Canis lupus familiaris: one gene and its partners. The protein of the gene in region 1 interacts with the protein of each later gene in a pairwise test. Links are inferred from orthologs where the notes say so. Each region holds a gene or a part of one and is shown in the gene's direction. Other genes may lie near its edges.

Region 1 (4,097 bases):
TAGATTGAGTATTTTTGGCCTGAAGAATGTGTGCTTTTAAAATCATTCAAAGAGGGCAGCCCTGGTGGTTTAGCGCCGCCTTCAGCACAGGGCTTGATCCTGGAGACCCAGTATCGAGTCCCACGTCGGGCTCCCTGCACGGAGCCTGCTTCTCCCTCTGCCTGTGTCTCTGCCTCTCTCTCTCTCTCTCTCTCTCTCTCGCTGTCTCTCATGAATAAATAAGTAAAATATTAAAAAAAAATCATTCAAAGAGCACGTTTCCTTTCCAAACACTAGGTGCTGGAGTGTGGAGTTTGTGAAGATGTCTTTTCTTTGCAAGGAGATAAAGTTCCTCGCCTTCTGCTTTGTGGCCACACAGTCTGTCATGACTGTCTTACCCGCCTGCCTCTTCATGGAAGAGCAATCCGTTGCCCTTTTGATCGACAAGTAACAGATCTAGGTAGGAAAATACATTGTATGTATTTAAGTTTTAAAATTGTAGGGATCCCTGGGTGGCGCAGCGGTTTGGCGCCTGCCTTTGGCACAGGGCGCGATCCTGGAGACCCGGGATCGATTCCCACGTCAGGCTCCCGGTGCATGGAGCCTGCTTCTCTCTCTGCCTGTGTCTCTGCCTCTCTTTCTCTCTCTGTGACTATCATAAATAAATAAAAAAAAAAAAAATTAAAAAAAATAAATAAAATTGTTTGTTTTATTTGTGTGAAAAAGAGTTTTTATAGTCATTGAGTGCTGCAGATTCTAGTTTAAATGAGAGGTGGGGAAAAAAGATTATGTTTAGCTGTTTGAGTTCCATTTTACTAAGGAGTTATTTTAGGTTAAGTGTATGTTTCTTACAGTGGTTTTCAGACATGAATCATAGCTTATTTGTAGTTATAAAATCAGTTTAATTGGCTGTGAGCATGATTTTTAAAAGAAGAAATAGAACAAAAATGTGGGTGTGTTGCACACTGTAAGGGTGAATATTGGTGTGTGAAACTCTTGTTTCAGATGTATATATACACATATTTAAAAAAAGTATTGATATATATATATAAATAAACGTATGCTATTCTGTGTTGTAATTGAAAATATGTTTCTTACTGAAAGTTGATATAAAAAATATTTTAAAGCCTTTGGTTTAATATATGTAGTAAAAATCAATGATAGGATTTATAGAGTTAAATGATAGAAAAATAGTAGAACTTTAAGTATGTTTCTACTCGCAATGCTAAGGAACTGTTTTTTAAAGAGAATTTTAGCAAGACAATAGTTCTAACATAAAAAGATAATGAGGAAATTTGAATTTTGAAAATTTAGATATTAATGATTAAAATATAAGACAAATTACTATTGAGGTATAGTAAAGGTAAAATTATTAATAGTCCATTTTGTTAGATTTAGTTATTTTTATATTCTAGGAGATTCAGGTGTTTGGGGATTGAAAAAAAATTTTGCTTTATTGGAGCTTTTGGAACGACTGCAGAATGGACATATTGGTCAATGTGGAGCTGCAGAAGAAGCCATTGGAATATCTGGAGAGGTACTGATAGAACATGTGAAATATTTATTATGAGTATGAATTTTTTCTTTTAATTTAAAATCTTTGCATTAAAAGCACAATCTTACCTCACTTGCTCCAGCAGATAGGATTCCAGAAACATAACTTTTCATTATATTACAGGTTTGTAGGCAGCAATATTTCCAGCTAAATAGCAATTCTCTGAAAATACTATACCCAAAGTATGTTTTATATATAAACTTATCTCCTTATTATAATTCAGTTCTACCCAAGGATAAAGTCAAAGAGTAAGAAGGTTATGGAATGGTAAGAAGAAGGTGTAAGCTACATTAAACCAAGGATGCAAAAGTGAATCAACAGTAAATAGTACAGCACAAAGAAAGAGGAACTCCTTGAAAAAGGCCATTTAATGTAGAGGCCAAATGCATTAAAAATAGCAGTAGCTCCTGAGGGAATTATTACTATTAAATATCTTCATGAAAAGTTTAAATTGTGTGTAAGTATACTCTCTTTATCCAACAGGCTGATCGTCCAGTAAATATTAGAATGAAGCTCATTAACACAGGTTAAAATACATTTTTATTTTTATTTATTTTTATTTTTTAAATTTAGTACGCTCCATGCCCAATGTGGGGCTTGAACTCATGACCCTGAGATCAAGAGTTGCATGCTCTAGACTGAGCCAGCCAGGCGCCCCTTAAAATACATTTTTAATGCTTGGAGGATTGTCGCCATAGCTCATATATTGTACTAGATATAAGAATAGTTGTAGTAAATAACAGTTAGTGATTTTGGTGATCAACTTTAAAACCACAGGTTCAGTATCAAGGAAAAAAAGTCATTGATTTCTACCTCTTTTTTATTAGGTCATGATTTCTTTATGTAAAGTGATTCACTGAAGTGAATTTCAGACTGGAACACTTTTTTTTTTTTTCTTTAAAGAGTTTATTTAAATTCAAGTTAGTTAACGTGTAGTATAGGATTAGTTTCAGGGTTAAATTTAGTGATTCATCAGTTGCCTGTAACACCCAGTGCTCGTATATCATGTGCCCTCCTTAATGTTTATCACCCATTTACCCCATTCCCTAATCCACCTTCCCTCCAGCAACCCTCAGGTTGTTCCTGTAGTTAAGCATCTCTTAATGGTTTGCCTCCTTCTCTGTTTTTATCTTAATGTCTTTTTCCTTCCCTTCCCCTATGTTCATCTTTTTTTGTTTGTTAGATTCCACACATGAGTGAAATCATTTGTCTTTGTGTGACTGATTTATTTTGCTTAGCATAATACCCTCTGGTTCCATCCACAATTTTGCAAATTTCATTCTTTTTATGGCTGAGTAATATTCCATTGTATCTATATATACATATTTATCTGTTCATCTGTTAATGGACTTTTGGACTCTTTGTATATTTTGGCTATTGTGGATAGTGCTGCTACAAACATTGGGGTGCATGTGCCCCTTTGAATCACTATTTTTGTATCCTTTGGATAAATACCTAGTAGTGTAATTGCTGAGTTGTAGAGTAGTTCTGTTTTTTTTTAACTTTTCGAGGAAGCTTCATACTGTTTTCCAGAGTGGCTGCATTGGTTTGCATTCCTACCCTCAAAGCAAAGGGTTTTCCTTTCTCTGCATCCTCCCCAACATCTGTTATTTTCTGAGTTGTTACTTTTAGCCATTCTAACTGATGTGAGGTGGCATTTCATTATGGCTTTGATCTGTATTTCTCTGATGCTGAGTGATGTTGAACAGTTTTTCATGTGACTGTTTACTCTTTATATATATATCTTCTTTTGAGAAATGTCTGTTCCTGTCTTCCACCACTTCTTAACTGGATTTTTTTATTTTAGGGGTATTGATTTTGGTAAGTTCTTTATAGATTTTGGATACTAGCCCTTTATCTATGTGTCATTTGCAAATACCTTCTCCTATTCTGTAGGTTGCCTTTTAGTTTTGTTGACTGTTTCCTTTGCTGTGCAGAAGCTTTTTTATCTTGATGAAGTCCCAAAGGTTCATTTTTGCTTTTGTTTCCCTTGCCCCTGGAGATGTGTCTAGTAAGAATTTGCTGTGGTTGAGATCCCAGAGGTTGCTTCCGTTCTCTTCTAGGATTTTGATAGATTCCTGTCTCACATTTAGGTCTTTAATCCATTTTGAATTTAATTTTGTGGATGGTGTAAGAAAACGGTCCAGTTTCATTCTTCTGTATATGGCTGTCCAGTTTTCCCAACACCATTCGTTGAAGGGACTGTGTTTTTTCCATTGGCTATTCTCTCCTGCTTTGTTGAATATTAGTTGACCACAGAGTTGTGGGGAGCACTGTTTTCTAAAATGTTTGTAGTTCTTTCATGTGCTATATCTTTATCTTTCAAAAGACATTAGAATATTGTCTAATATTGACCTTGTAAATTATTTTTCATGTCTGGAAAACAGAAGACATGAATTTTTAGTTTTATGTGTATGTGTTTCTCAAAATTGCAAGTAAAAATGTTTACCTTTGAGTTCATTTCTTAATTTACTTTTTAAAATTTATTTTTAAATTTATTTTATTTTTTTTAATTTCTTAATTTAATGTGATATTAAATGACACCATTGATATATTTTCTAAT
Region 2 (3,288 bases), on another chromosome or scaffold:
ACACAAGCACACAAGCAGGGGCAGGGGGCAGAGGGAGAAAGAGAATCCCCAGTGAGCAGGGAGCCTGATACAGGGCTCCATCCCAGGACTCTGAGATCATGACCTGAGCTGAAGGCAGACACCTAAGTGACTGAGCCACCCAGGCACCCCAATGTTGCTGTTTGTTAACACATGTCTGTGTCAGGAATTATGTTAAGAGTCTATATATATTTCTCTTTATCCTCCTAGTATCATAATCTGGTGTGGGTATCATAATCTCCATTTTAAAAATGAGGATATTGGGCAGCCCCAATGGCTCAGCGGTTTAGTGCTCCCTTCAGCCTGGGGTGTGATCCTGGAGACCTGGGATCGAGTCCCACGTTGGGCTCCCTGCATGGAGCCTGCTTCTCCCCCTGCCTGTGTCTCTGCCTCTCTCTGTGTGTGTCTCTCATAAATAAATAAATAAAATCTTTTAAAAAAATTAAAAAATAAAAAATAAATAAAAATGAGGACATTAAGGCTCAGAGAGGTTGAGTAACTTGTACAAGATCACAAGCCAGTAAATGACAGAATTCAAGCCTGGGCCTATCAGACTCTACACCTTGTATTTTGTTTTGTTTTGTGGCTTAAAGATTTTATCTACTTATTTGACTGAGAGAAAAAGAGAGCACAAGCAGGGGAATTGACAGGCAGAGGGAGAAGCAGGCTACCCACTCAGCAGAGAGCCTGAGGCAGGGCTCGATCCCAGGACCCCTGGATCATGACCTGAGTTGAAGGCAGATGCTTAATGGACTGAGCCACTCGGGCATCCCTACACCTTATGTTCTTAACATCTGCTTCTATGTGGGTATACACTGGTGACTGAAGGCTTCATCGGAGCCAGGGCTCAGGAGGCATTAGCAGCCCCAGTGGGCCGTGTGAGATAGTGGCCTGCAGCCTATTACAGTGCTTTGGGTGGCTCTGTTTTTTCCAAGAGATGAAATTCTGGGTTTGAGGTCTGGACTAGCCTATTGGGGGGAATGTGGGCTCAGTGTGTGGCTACTTCATCAGTGCCTTGGCATGAAGTTTTCTGTCAGCCTCAAGGAACCCTTGCAAGAATGCATTATTCCTGTACAGGGTTTTCTGGCCAAGGATTTGCAAGCTGAAGCTCTCTGCAAACTTGATAAGAGAGTAAAAGCCACAATCGAGCAATTTATGAAGATCTTGGAAGAGATTGACACACTGGTAAGTAAATATTCAGCTGAGAAGAACTAGTTTCCTTTGACTCTTTTTTTTTTTTTTTTTTTTTTTTTTAGATTTTATTTATTTATTCATGAGAGACACAGAGAGAGAGAGAGAGGCAGAGACACAGGCAGAGGGAGAAGCAGGCTCCATGCAGGGAACCCGATGCGGGACCCCATCCCGGGTCTCCAGGATCACACCCTGGGCCAAAGGCAGCGCTAAGCTGCTGAGCCACCTGGGCTGCCCTCCTTTGACTCTTTTTCAGTGAGTTTCACTCTTTCAGTAAAGCACTCTTACTGTCTGAGGATATTGAGCACCTGCTGTGTGCGAGACACTGCTCAGTCCTTGGTAGATACACAGAAAGACAAGATAGTTCCTGATTTTTAAGCAGTCACATCCACCAACGTAGGGCTTTTGTCATTTTTATATTTCCTAAAAGCATCTAATCCTCACAAAGTTGGAACCCAAATGGACTGTGATTTTATGGCCAGAGAAACAGAGGGCTTCATGATACTCATATGACTGGTGATTCCATTGGGTTCATTATCTGTAAAGAATTCAGCCAGACTCAGTCTCTTGTGAGACTATTGGGAATCATCAACTCCATGATCCCTTTTACAGAAAAGATGGTAATGATATTTCCAGCTAGATGCCTCATTTTTGAGGGTGAATTACTCTGCATAGGATTCTCGGGGAGTGAGGGAGGTTGTAAAGAATAAGCACAGTGAGCTCATGGCATGGCCAGGACGTAGTATCTGTACATAGAAAGGAGAGAAAGGACAAAGTCCATGGTACAGATCAGTTTCCATGGCCCAGACACTGAGAGCAAAGGGAGCTTTTATAGGGGTGAGAGCCATGGGAAGGGCCATGTGGAATACAGATCAAGGGAGGAAATCATTCCTGAAAATGCAAGTCTCGTTCATGTTGGTGACTTATGATGCATTTGGTGTACTGTGGGTATTTCATCATGTTGTTATGTCATTCTTACTGAGATTATTTATGTGTCAATTTATTCTTCCACAGATTCTGCCGGAAAATTTCAAAGACAGTAGACTGAAAAGGAAGGGTTTGGTGAAAAGGGTTCAGGTGAGCTGTGTGATCAAGCATTCAAAGTTTAATGTGTGTGTTTATCTGTTCAGAGTAGGGTAGGGCAAAAGTGTGATGTGTGGTATGGACATTTTTTGGTTGTTATTTCATGAGTCCAGAATCTAAGAGAAGAGCTCCTTTCATGTCCCTGTAATTGTATTTGAATTTAAATTAATTGGGGAGGAAGATTGTTGGAGAGCAGTTATAGCTGCCATATGACACAATTTCAGGAGGCACTATTCATGTTCCCTGAAATTGTGCAGTACAGTGGCAAGGCTTCCTGTCCTCACCACCCCTCTGGAGGATTGTTGTCAGAAACCCTGCTCCTACACTGGCCTCTGCCTCCCTCCCCTTATCTGGGAGCCCAGGCTGGCTCCATTCCTCTATAGCCTGTTTTAAATCATTCACCCAGGGGTTCCCCATAATGGCTGAGCAAGAGCCTTGTATGGGCAGGGAATGGCTAGTCCTGGATGGTCCCTCACTGCCCTGCATTCACGTTTTAGGCATTCCTGGCTGAGTGTGACACTGTGGAGCAGAACATCTGCCAGGAGACAGAGCGGCTGCAGTCCACAAACTTGGCTCTGGCCGAGTGAGGTGAGGCGGAGAGAGGCTGGGCCGCCCTGAAGAACAGCTCCACCAGCTCTGCCCTCTCTGGGACAGAAGTGACCTGATTTCACCAGGGCCGCTGGGGACAATTGGCCACTTGCCAGTTTTCCTGAACCTACCCCTGTTCTCGATGAACAAGTGTTGTCTGCAGTCCTAAGTAGAGCCCCTGTCTGTTTTCTCATTGTTTCTCTGTGTGGCTGCGCTGTCCAGCAGCCTACCTTGTCTGGAGAGGACCTCCCCTGCCAAGTCTTCCCCGCTCTTTCGACCTTTGGGTACTTCCCTTGGGTTGGCAGAACCTCTCATTTGTGTTGGAGTAATTCTGGGTTTATAGCCCCCCGGTCCTCAGATTCATGAGGCCTTTTTGCCCTTGTGATTCTATAGCCGGTAGATGTAACC
Region 3 (4,330 bases), on another chromosome or scaffold:
GATCCTGGGTCTCTGGGATCAGGCCCTGGGCTGAAGGCAGGGGCTAAACCGCTGAGCCACCCAGGGATTCCCCAGTGTTTACACTTTTAAACGCCCACCCTTCTAAGAACCTTGCACACCTTGGCTTGTGGGCAACAGGAGCTATGAAAGATGTTTTCAGTATTAAACAGAAACCTCTGGCCCAGGTACCTTCGGTGACTTCATTTCCCATTCTCAGCTTCTCTTCTTGCTCTTTTTGTTTGTGGCAAACTATGCTCAGAGACTGAGATTGTATTTACCAATAATTTATTTAACACATGTTCACTCAGGGAATTAAAATTTATATTTCACAAGCCAATAGCATACAGGACCTCTTTATACGGCAATTAGGAAATAACATACTTCAAACCAGTGACAGGTTAATTATGCAATTGTTCTAGGCAAAGGGGAGATGAAAGAAAGTCCAAATTTAGTTGAGGTGTACCTTTCCACGCTGGGTAGAGTCAGCCCTTTCAACTAAAAGCTGGATATCAGAGCACCGGCACTGCAGGGCACCAGTGTTGGCAGGAATGTGGGCTGCTTCGAAGGGATCACTAAACCAATCATGCCACTGCCTCGGAATGCCAAGGCCGGCACAGATGCCCCTTCTCCAAGACTGCTGTGTGGTCACCACTGCTGACCAAAAGTAGCATCACTAGGGCGGGAGGAAGGGTGTCAAGGTCTTCAGGAACTATATTTAGATCAAGAAAGAGTGGCTCTGCCCAGACTGAACACTCTCGAGTTGTTGACCAAACCTCTTAGAAGTCTGTCACATGGACGCACTGCTGTTACTCCGGTGTCAGTGACATAATAGTCCTCTCCACTCCAGGTGGGACAGTTCATTAAGAAAGTCCTAATACCAGCAATGTCCACAATAGCCAAACTGTGGAAGGAGCCTTGGTGTCCATGGAAAGATGAATGGATAAAGAAGATGTGGTCTATGTATACGATGGAATATTCCTCAGCCATTAGAAACGACAAATACCCACCATTTGCTTCAACGTGGATGGAACTGGAGGGTATTTGCTGAGTGAAGTAAGTCAATCGGAGAAGGACAAACATTATATGGTCTCATTCATTTGGGGAATATAAAAAATAGTGAAAGGGAATAAAGGGGAAAGGAGAGAAAATGAGTGGGAAATATCAGGGAGACAACATGAGAGACTCCTAACTCTGGGAAACGAACAAGGGGTAGTGGAAGGGAGGTGGGCGGGCACTGACGGGGGCACTTGATGGGATGAGCACTGGGTGTTATGCTGTATGTTGGCAAATTGAACACCAAAAAAAAAAAAAAAAAAGTCCTAATACCCAACTTCAAAACAAAGTTCAAACCACACAGAACCTGCCCCAACCTCCTTCCCCTTCGGGTCCCACCTCAGGCCTGGACCTCACCTCCACTGTAACAGTGCCCGTAGGTCCTGCCCAAGTGCTCACAGACGGGCCAATTCAGCAAGTCCCCGATGCTTCACACTGCCCGGGGACCCGCCTACCGGTTAACACTGGCCTTACCGAGCCCGCCCTCAAATTTGGGTCCAGCAGGTCTGACAGACTCGGGCTTAGGACTTCTATCAAGCGGCCGCCTCATTTACAGAGCACAACTAGCAGGAAAGCTGCACAGGAAGTCCACCGTGGTCGCCTAACTCTATGGTCGAGGCCACGGAGTCCAGCCGGCGCAAAACGAGCTGCCCCGGCGTTCGTAAAGGGCACGGCCCGAGGAGCCCCCGTACACGCCACAGCCAGACCGCGCCCCCGCCTCCCGCGCTGCGCGGCGGAGGACGCGAGCGGGAACCAGGCATGCGCGGACTCCTCCGTCCCCTGCCAGAGTCACGTGAGTGGGGCGGGCTCGAGGCCTGAGAGGAAGCGGAAGTCGCGCTTCTCTCCGGAGCTTGCTCCCGGAAGTGCTGCTGTTTGTAGCGGGCGTGATGGCTTCAAGGTTACTTCGCGGAGTTGGAGCGCTGGCCGCGCAGGCCCTCAGGGCTCGCGGTCCCAATGGAGTCGCCGCGGTGCGCTCAATGGCGTCTGGAGGTACTCGGCCTGCCCGGCGCGTCAGGGAACCGTGCCGTTGCCTTCCCGGGGTGGTGCCTGGGCAGCGAAGCGGGGCGGGCCGTTCAGCGTCTCGGGGCCCCAGTGACCGCTCGGGGGCCCCGAGTGACTCCGCCTCCGTGGGGGTCTCCCAGTTATCCTGGTCCCCTGTGCTGCCCCTCACCGAACTGCCCCCGGTTGCGATAAATCTTAAACCGAGGTGCCAGGTGACCTTGGGGCACAGGGGTTGCAACCGGGATGTGGAGAGGCCAAGCTGCCCTTCAGACCCGCGCTCACCTCAAGTGCGATGAACCCTACTAGGACTCTGACTTGCTTTTAGGGAAAATGTGCAGAAATACTGGCCTCCGTGATTGAAGGAAGAAAAGATTACCCGGGGCTGCCGCTTTGGGGTATCAGGACCGTGGTCCTTAGGAGACAATGTGTATGAGTAGCCTTTAGGAGTTTGTAAACTGTATGTAAACATTTATGTATATGCATTTGTCGTCCTGATAATTCAGACAATATCAAAATTCACGTATTTTCCTTTAGGTGGTGTTCCTACTGATGACGAGCAGGCGACAGGGCTGGAGAGGGAGGTCATGATGGCCGCACGGAAGGGACTGGTGAGAAACTCCTTTTTGTGTCTTCTCTGGGGTTCATGATCTTGGATGGGATCAGAGCAGGTTCCTCTCTGGGAGCATCTGAGATAGGAAACCTGACTTGTGGGAACAGTACCACTAGCCTCTGGAGGCTACGGGTCATTTGGCATAATGGCTTAATTCTTTTTCAGGACCCATACAATATTCTAGCCCCAAAGGCAGCTGCAGGCACCAAAGAAGACCCTAATTTAGTCCCATCTATCACCAACAAGCGAATAGTGGGCTGCATCTGTAAGTACCTCACCACTCTTGTCCATTTGTTTAATATATACAGGACGTCAGTAAGAGGTTTCAAATCTTTTGAGTGCATGGTGTGTTCGTGTAAAGGGGATGTGTGTGTAAATGAGTTATTGTAAGGGTCCCCTGGCCCTTTCAAGCTTCATTAACCCTTCATTAGTATCAGCTCATTGGAGATGCAGCATGAGAGAGTTGATCCAGAAAATATTTGTTGTATTTCCTTCCTCTTTGCCAGACACTGTTTTAGGCACTAGGGATACATACTAGAAAGGACTGTGCTTTGGGATTCTACATAGGCAGAGGAACTGTTAGAACTTAATGGTGACTTTGATGTAAGGTTAGTTTACTCATAGATAACTCGGGGCCTCATTTCATCTGAAAAGTGGGGAAGGAGAGAGCTTGAATTGATCTCTTCAGGTGTCAACCATAACTGTGTCTTAGAGGTGTCTGAGGATGAGGTTAATATTGAAAGTCTCCACTTCAGGTTGGATGGCCTTCAACCACCTTTTCCCTTTCAGGTGAAGAGGACAATAGTACCGTCATCTGGTTTTGGCTGCACAAAGGCGAGGCCCAGCGATGCCCTAGCTGTGGAACCCATTACAAGCTGGTGCCCCACCAGTTGGCCCACTGAGCCTTTGCACTAATTTACTCAAAATGTGCTGTGAAGTTTCTTCTTTCCAATAAAGACTAGCCATTGCATTGGCTCCTTCTCCCATAGTTGGCTGGTCTTGTTTCTATCCTGTGTCTTTTGTGAGGCCTGGATTTTTACATTGGGAATAGCTATCTGTTAATATTAGCTTGCTATCCATGTGTTTGTGTACGCCAAGATTGACAATCCCATAGTACAGTGATTGAGACCATCTGCTATGGAGAAAGCATGGGCTATGGCATCAGACTGACTCGACTTTTAATAATGGCTCCATCATTTAGTTTTGTCACTGGAACATGTACTCTGCGGATAGGTTATATCTTTTAAAAAAAATAAATATTTTGTGAGGCATTAGAAATAATATATAAAGAGCCTGGCAGTTGGTTCACAGTAATGTTATAAAAATAGGGTGACCTTGTGACCAGAGTTTTGGGGGTTTTGAAGTTTTGGGGTTCAAAGCATAGTTCATGGAGATACCATTATCAAAATCCAGAATATGAGGCAATTCCAGAAATCAATGACCAGTTTCTTCAAATAAATTGCAATGAGGAGGGACACCTTGCTGGCTCAGACAGTAGAGCATGCCACTCTTGAACTGAGGGTCATGAGTTCAAGCTCCACATTGAGTGTGGAGCCTACTTTTTATTAAAAAAAAAAGTTAAAAATTTAAAAATTGCAATGAGGAAAAAAAGTAGGGAGAACCTATCAAGTGAAATGGATGGGAGGAAGATAACAAGAGCAAAGC
Region 4 (4,174 bases), on another chromosome or scaffold:
GTTTCTCTGCGAAGGACACCTCACTCGCCAGGCCAACCCGAGCTCAGGGAGGGTCTTCTCGTTGTACCAGGGGGAGAACGAATGGCTCCAGGACCACTGCATGCAAGTCGGGGACGCCTACCTGATTGTCTACTCCATCACGGACCGAGCCAGCTTCGAGAAGGCATCTGAGCTGCGGATCCAGCTCCGCAGGGCCCGGCAGGCAGAGGACATCCCTATAATTTTGGTGGGCAACAAAAGTGACCTGGTTCGGTGCCGGGAAGTGTCTGTGTCAGGTAAGCGGAGCGGCGCCAGGACCGGGGCACAGTCTCGGGGTCGCCTGGCTTTCCTCCAGATGGGTGCCCTTTTCTCTTCTTTCATGAAGCCGGAGCCAGGGAAATGCCCCGTGGAGCGTCGTGGGGGAGGCTCCAGCGTTCCCCGCAGATCCTCTCTGTGCCGATGGCTGCGCCCTCGTCCTTCTGGCCCATGTGCCGCATTCCCCTGTCCCCGCCCTGGAATTCCGTTAGGGAAAAGAGCATGCTCGGCTCAGGGGAAGGGGGGGATTTACTAGCACTCCCCAACCTTTTCTCCTTGTCCTTTTCTCTAGGGAACTCTTTGGAGTTCAGGGAAAGAAACGTAAGATGGGAACTCTGATTGGGGGCAACTGTGAGAGTTTCAGTGAGAATAAGAATTCTACTCTGGTTGCCTCTGGTTCCTGGGGCCCCGGGAACACCCTCCTTCCTGTCCCCTACCTTTTCCTTCCTAGATTTCCATGAAGGCACCAACCTGATGGGGTCACACAGACATTTCCATCCATAGTTCAGGGATATCGCCTCTTTCCTTGGGTCCCTTGAGATGTTATTGGCCTAATACAGATCTGGTTCCTGGTACGATGGTAAAAAAATTAAATACTGCATTGTCGGGCCCCACTCAGGAGAAACGAAATCTGATAAGGACGTACCATATACAGCTAGCTTGGGGATGTCTCACTCTTAGGGGACGACTGTCTACAGCAGTCATTTTTTTTCTAACCAAAACGTGGATACAAGGTCAGGGAACACGACCGAGTGTTCAAAATTGAGGCTCTTCCGGAAAAGCCGGTCCATGCGGTTTGCTGGTGACCGTGTCGTACATTGGTGAAATCATCGAAAGTTTTTCGAAGTACCTCATTGAAGCTTTAAAATTGTTTTTTGAGAGAGAAAAGGCAAAAAGTAGGATTCTTGTTCAATTCAGGAAACTGAGTCAGGTGAAAGAGTTCCGAATCTGAGCTTGAGGACGAAGCAGGTCTGGATTCAGACTTAACAGGCTGTGGGAACTCCCTCGCATTTTGATTGATTGATTTTTGGAGATTGTATTTATTTAGTCATGAAAGGCAGAGACACAGGCAGAGGGAGAAGCAGGCGGGGAGCCTGATGCGGGACTCGATCCCAGGACCTGGGGATCACACCCTGAGCCAAAGGCAGGCAGACGCTCAACCGCTGAGCCACCTGGGCATCCGTCCCTCATGTTTTATTTTTTATTTTTTAATATTTTATTTATTTATTCATGAGCGGCACAGATAGAGGCAGAGACACAGGCAGAGGGAGAGCAGGCTCCCTGCAGGGAGCCCGAGATGGGACTTGATCCCAGGACCCCGGGGTCACCTCCCGAGCCAAAGGCAGGTGCTCCACCGCTGGGCCACCCAGGCGCCCATCCCTCATGTTTTTAAGAGATCCCCCTCACCCCAGTTTCTTCATCTGTCTGAAAGGGAGAATGGAGTTTTCGGGGTTGTTTTGAACCTGGGCATACGGTTCGTGCAGTGTTCAGCCCGGCGGCTCGGGCAGCGCCGTAACTGCAGGCTGTGGTTTTCCCGTTGGAGTTAAGGTCACGTCTCTGCTGGAGGGGCCCTCCTCCCGGGAGCCTGAGGCGGGCCAGGTGCCCATCCCGGCTCCCCTGCTTCCAGGAAGCTCCCCGCCACCCCGCCCGTGCACCCCTGGGGGACCCGCGTCGCCGTGGCCTGCGGCCCGGTGGCGCCGAGCGGCTCTGACTGTCCCGCCCTCCTTCCCCCGCAGAGGGCAGAGCGTGCGCCGTGGTGTTCGACTGCAAGTTCATCGAGACGTCGGCGGCCGTCCAGCACAACGTGAAGGAGCTGTTCGAGGGCATCGTGCGGCAGGTGCGCCTGCGGCGGGACAGCAAGGAGAAGAACGAGCGGCGGCTGGCCTACCAGAAGAGGCGGGAGAGCATCCCCAGGAAGGCCAGGCGCTTCTGGGGCAAGATCGTGGCCAAAAACAACAAGAATATGGCCTTCAAGCTCAAGTCCAAGTCCTGCCATGACCTCTCTGTGCTCTAGGCCCCCGGGGTCACCCAGATGTCCCCTGACGGACATCGTTGAGCGCCATCGGGACCGATAATCTATATTAGATTGCATCCTTCGGTACTATTACGTGCGGCTTCCCCCACTGTAGCTGGGAATTCACGTGTTAGCCTCACGGGCAGCCAAGGGCATGGCAGACCACAGGTCTTTGTAAAAATCAGTATTTATTTGCAGGAAAAGCCTGACCTTGCTACTGGAACACCCGAGACTCCTGAGAGGGTGTGTTCGGTGTTCACACGTGTTTCCTCTCTCCTCCGGATAGTAGAGGATGGAAGGAAGCCTGCACCAGAACGCTCAGAACGAGGACTTTTCATTATTAAAATTTGTCCCGGTGTTCCAGGAGAGGAAGCTGAGGCCAGGGGGCCATAAACAAATATAGGAAAGCCGTCAAAGGATTAATCCGCGGGCGGGAAAATGAATCTCTCTGTACCGTATACTCATGGAGCTAGGCTTGTAGAACCGGGCTCCTCATAATCGTGACTATTATTGCTCCATCAAGCTGTGAAAAGAAATGATGGACCTTGCTGGAAACTAAAGCTTAGCAAAGGATTTTTGTGCAATGCCCACAGTTGGGGATCCAGAAATTTATAGCATTGGAACTGATACCGATACCGCTTACGGGATCAAAAATCCTATCTTCGCTTCTGTGTCTTACAGTGTTTTGTTTGGGGCAAAATTATTTAAATCACATTCTACGTAGTCGAACCGCCTCTCATGTTTCATGGTTTTTAAAGTCTTGGGGCCATCATGAATATATTTTTCAAATCTGAATTGTTGATAACCCGGAGTGCGAAATGCCAAATTTTGAAATATGATCAAAAGTCTGAGTTTTTATAAAACACGAAAGGCGAATACTTCCAGTGCTTCGGGTTGACCCTTGTATGCCACAGCTCTGCTCTATTTATTGTTATTTTGCAAAATAATAATCATTTTAACATTTGATAAAGCATATTTATGAACATATTTCTTAATAGGAAAAATGTCCATTTTATTACCATTTTCTATCTTTTTCAGAATATGCGAGTTTTTACCTATATGTCTTATAATAAAAAGAAATAAAATCTTTGGGAAAAAAGGCATTCTTAAAATGTTTTTCCTCCCCAAATAAGCCGATTATGATGCTTTCCGTATAGCTTCTAGGGAAGCCGTCTGTCCTCCCTGATCCAACCATCCTATGCCGGACATACGCAAGCGCACCCTATGGAAACATACCTGTTATTTTATATTTTATATTTATTTCTTCTTTTCATCGGTGGTGGCCCCGTTGTTGTTTGTTTCAAAGACTACCCCTGACACCTCTCCTCTGGAGCCATGGGTCACAGTAACACAAGGTTATTTTTGGCTAATACAGTTGGGAAGTATTTGGGGTCCTCTAAATGCTAAGTTACGGTAAAAGCCAGATTGATCTTTTGGTTTGGCAAATTCCTGACTGAGCAGATGGGCCTTTGCTCCCCGAAGGCTCATGGTCTTAAGCTTGACTAAAGCATTAGAGGAAATTATAAAGGATTAGGGGGGAAAAAAAGGAACCTGGTGATTTTCAGCCTGAGATCTAGCCAGGCAAGGAGAACGTGGTTAGCGCTTTGCCCTCCCTGCGTTTCTGAGTCTGTAATGAGACACGCAGCCGTGGCACCTGCGACACCGCCTAACGCAACAGCTTTAGGTAACTCAGTTCTGCAGGCCCGTTCTCCTCCTTTTTTCCGAATTGAGCGCGGAGGTACCCATCTCTGTGCACCCCGCCTCCTTGGATCGCTCCAGGGAACGGTACAGGGAGGTGATATTATCAAGAGTGAACCTTCAGGTTTCACAGGTGACATCAGGGCCATTTAACGTCAGCGGGTCTTT

Evidence for each region.
Region 2: the proteins of TRIM23 (region 1) and BAG1 interact in binary tests that used the Homo sapiens proteins (3 or more experiments, as listed by UniProt). The two-hybrid records come from large-scale screens. The link is inferred for Canis lupus familiaris from reciprocal best matches to the Homo sapiens genes TRIM23 and BAG1.
Region 3: the proteins of TRIM23 (region 1) and COX5B interact in binary tests that used the Homo sapiens proteins (3 or more experiments, as listed by UniProt). The two-hybrid records come from large-scale screens. The link is inferred for Canis lupus familiaris from reciprocal best matches to the Homo sapiens genes TRIM23 and COX5B.
Region 4: the proteins of TRIM23 (region 1) and GEM interact in binary tests that used the Homo sapiens proteins (3 or more experiments, as listed by UniProt). The two-hybrid records come from large-scale screens. The link is inferred for Canis lupus familiaris from reciprocal best matches to the Homo sapiens genes TRIM23 and GEM.

Annotation. Positions count from the first base shown.
Region 1 is NC_049223.1:50,582,572-50,586,668, reverse strand, and holds part of TRIM23 (E3 ubiquitin-protein ligase TRIM23), read left to right. Parts: intron 1-276; coding exon 277-439; intron 440-1,394; coding exon 1,395-1,516; intron 1,517-4,097.
Region 2 is NC_049232.1:50,587,273-50,590,560, reverse strand, and holds part of BAG1 (BAG family molecular chaperone regulator 1), read left to right. Parts: intron 1-1,095; coding exon 1,096-1,203; intron 1,204-2,223; coding exon 2,224-2,286; intron 2,287-2,789; coding exon 2,790-2,879; 3' UTR 2,880-3,288. UniProt on the Homo sapiens protein: Co-chaperone for HSP70 and HSC70 chaperone proteins. Acts as a nucleotide-exchange factor (NEF) promoting the release of ADP from the HSP70 and HSC70 proteins thereby triggering client/substrate protein release.
Region 3 is NC_049231.1:46,036,341-46,040,670, reverse strand, and holds the end of COX5B (cytochrome c oxidase subunit 5B), read left to right. Parts: intron 1-2,589; coding exon 2,590-2,663; intron 2,664-2,830; coding exon 2,831-2,930; intron 2,931-3,454; coding exon 3,455-3,567; downstream 3,568-4,330. UniProt on the Homo sapiens protein: Component of the cytochrome c oxidase, the last enzyme in the mitochondrial electron transport chain which drives oxidative phosphorylation.
Region 4 is NC_049250.1:39,678,179-39,682,352, reverse strand, and holds the end of GEM (GTP-binding protein GEM), read left to right. Parts: intron 1-70; coding exon 71-275; intron 276-2,030; coding exon 2,031-2,308; 3' UTR 2,309-3,411; downstream 3,412-4,174. UniProt on the Homo sapiens protein: Could be a regulatory protein, possibly participating in receptor-mediated signal transduction at the plasma membrane. Has guanine nucleotide-binding activity but undetectable intrinsic GTPase activity.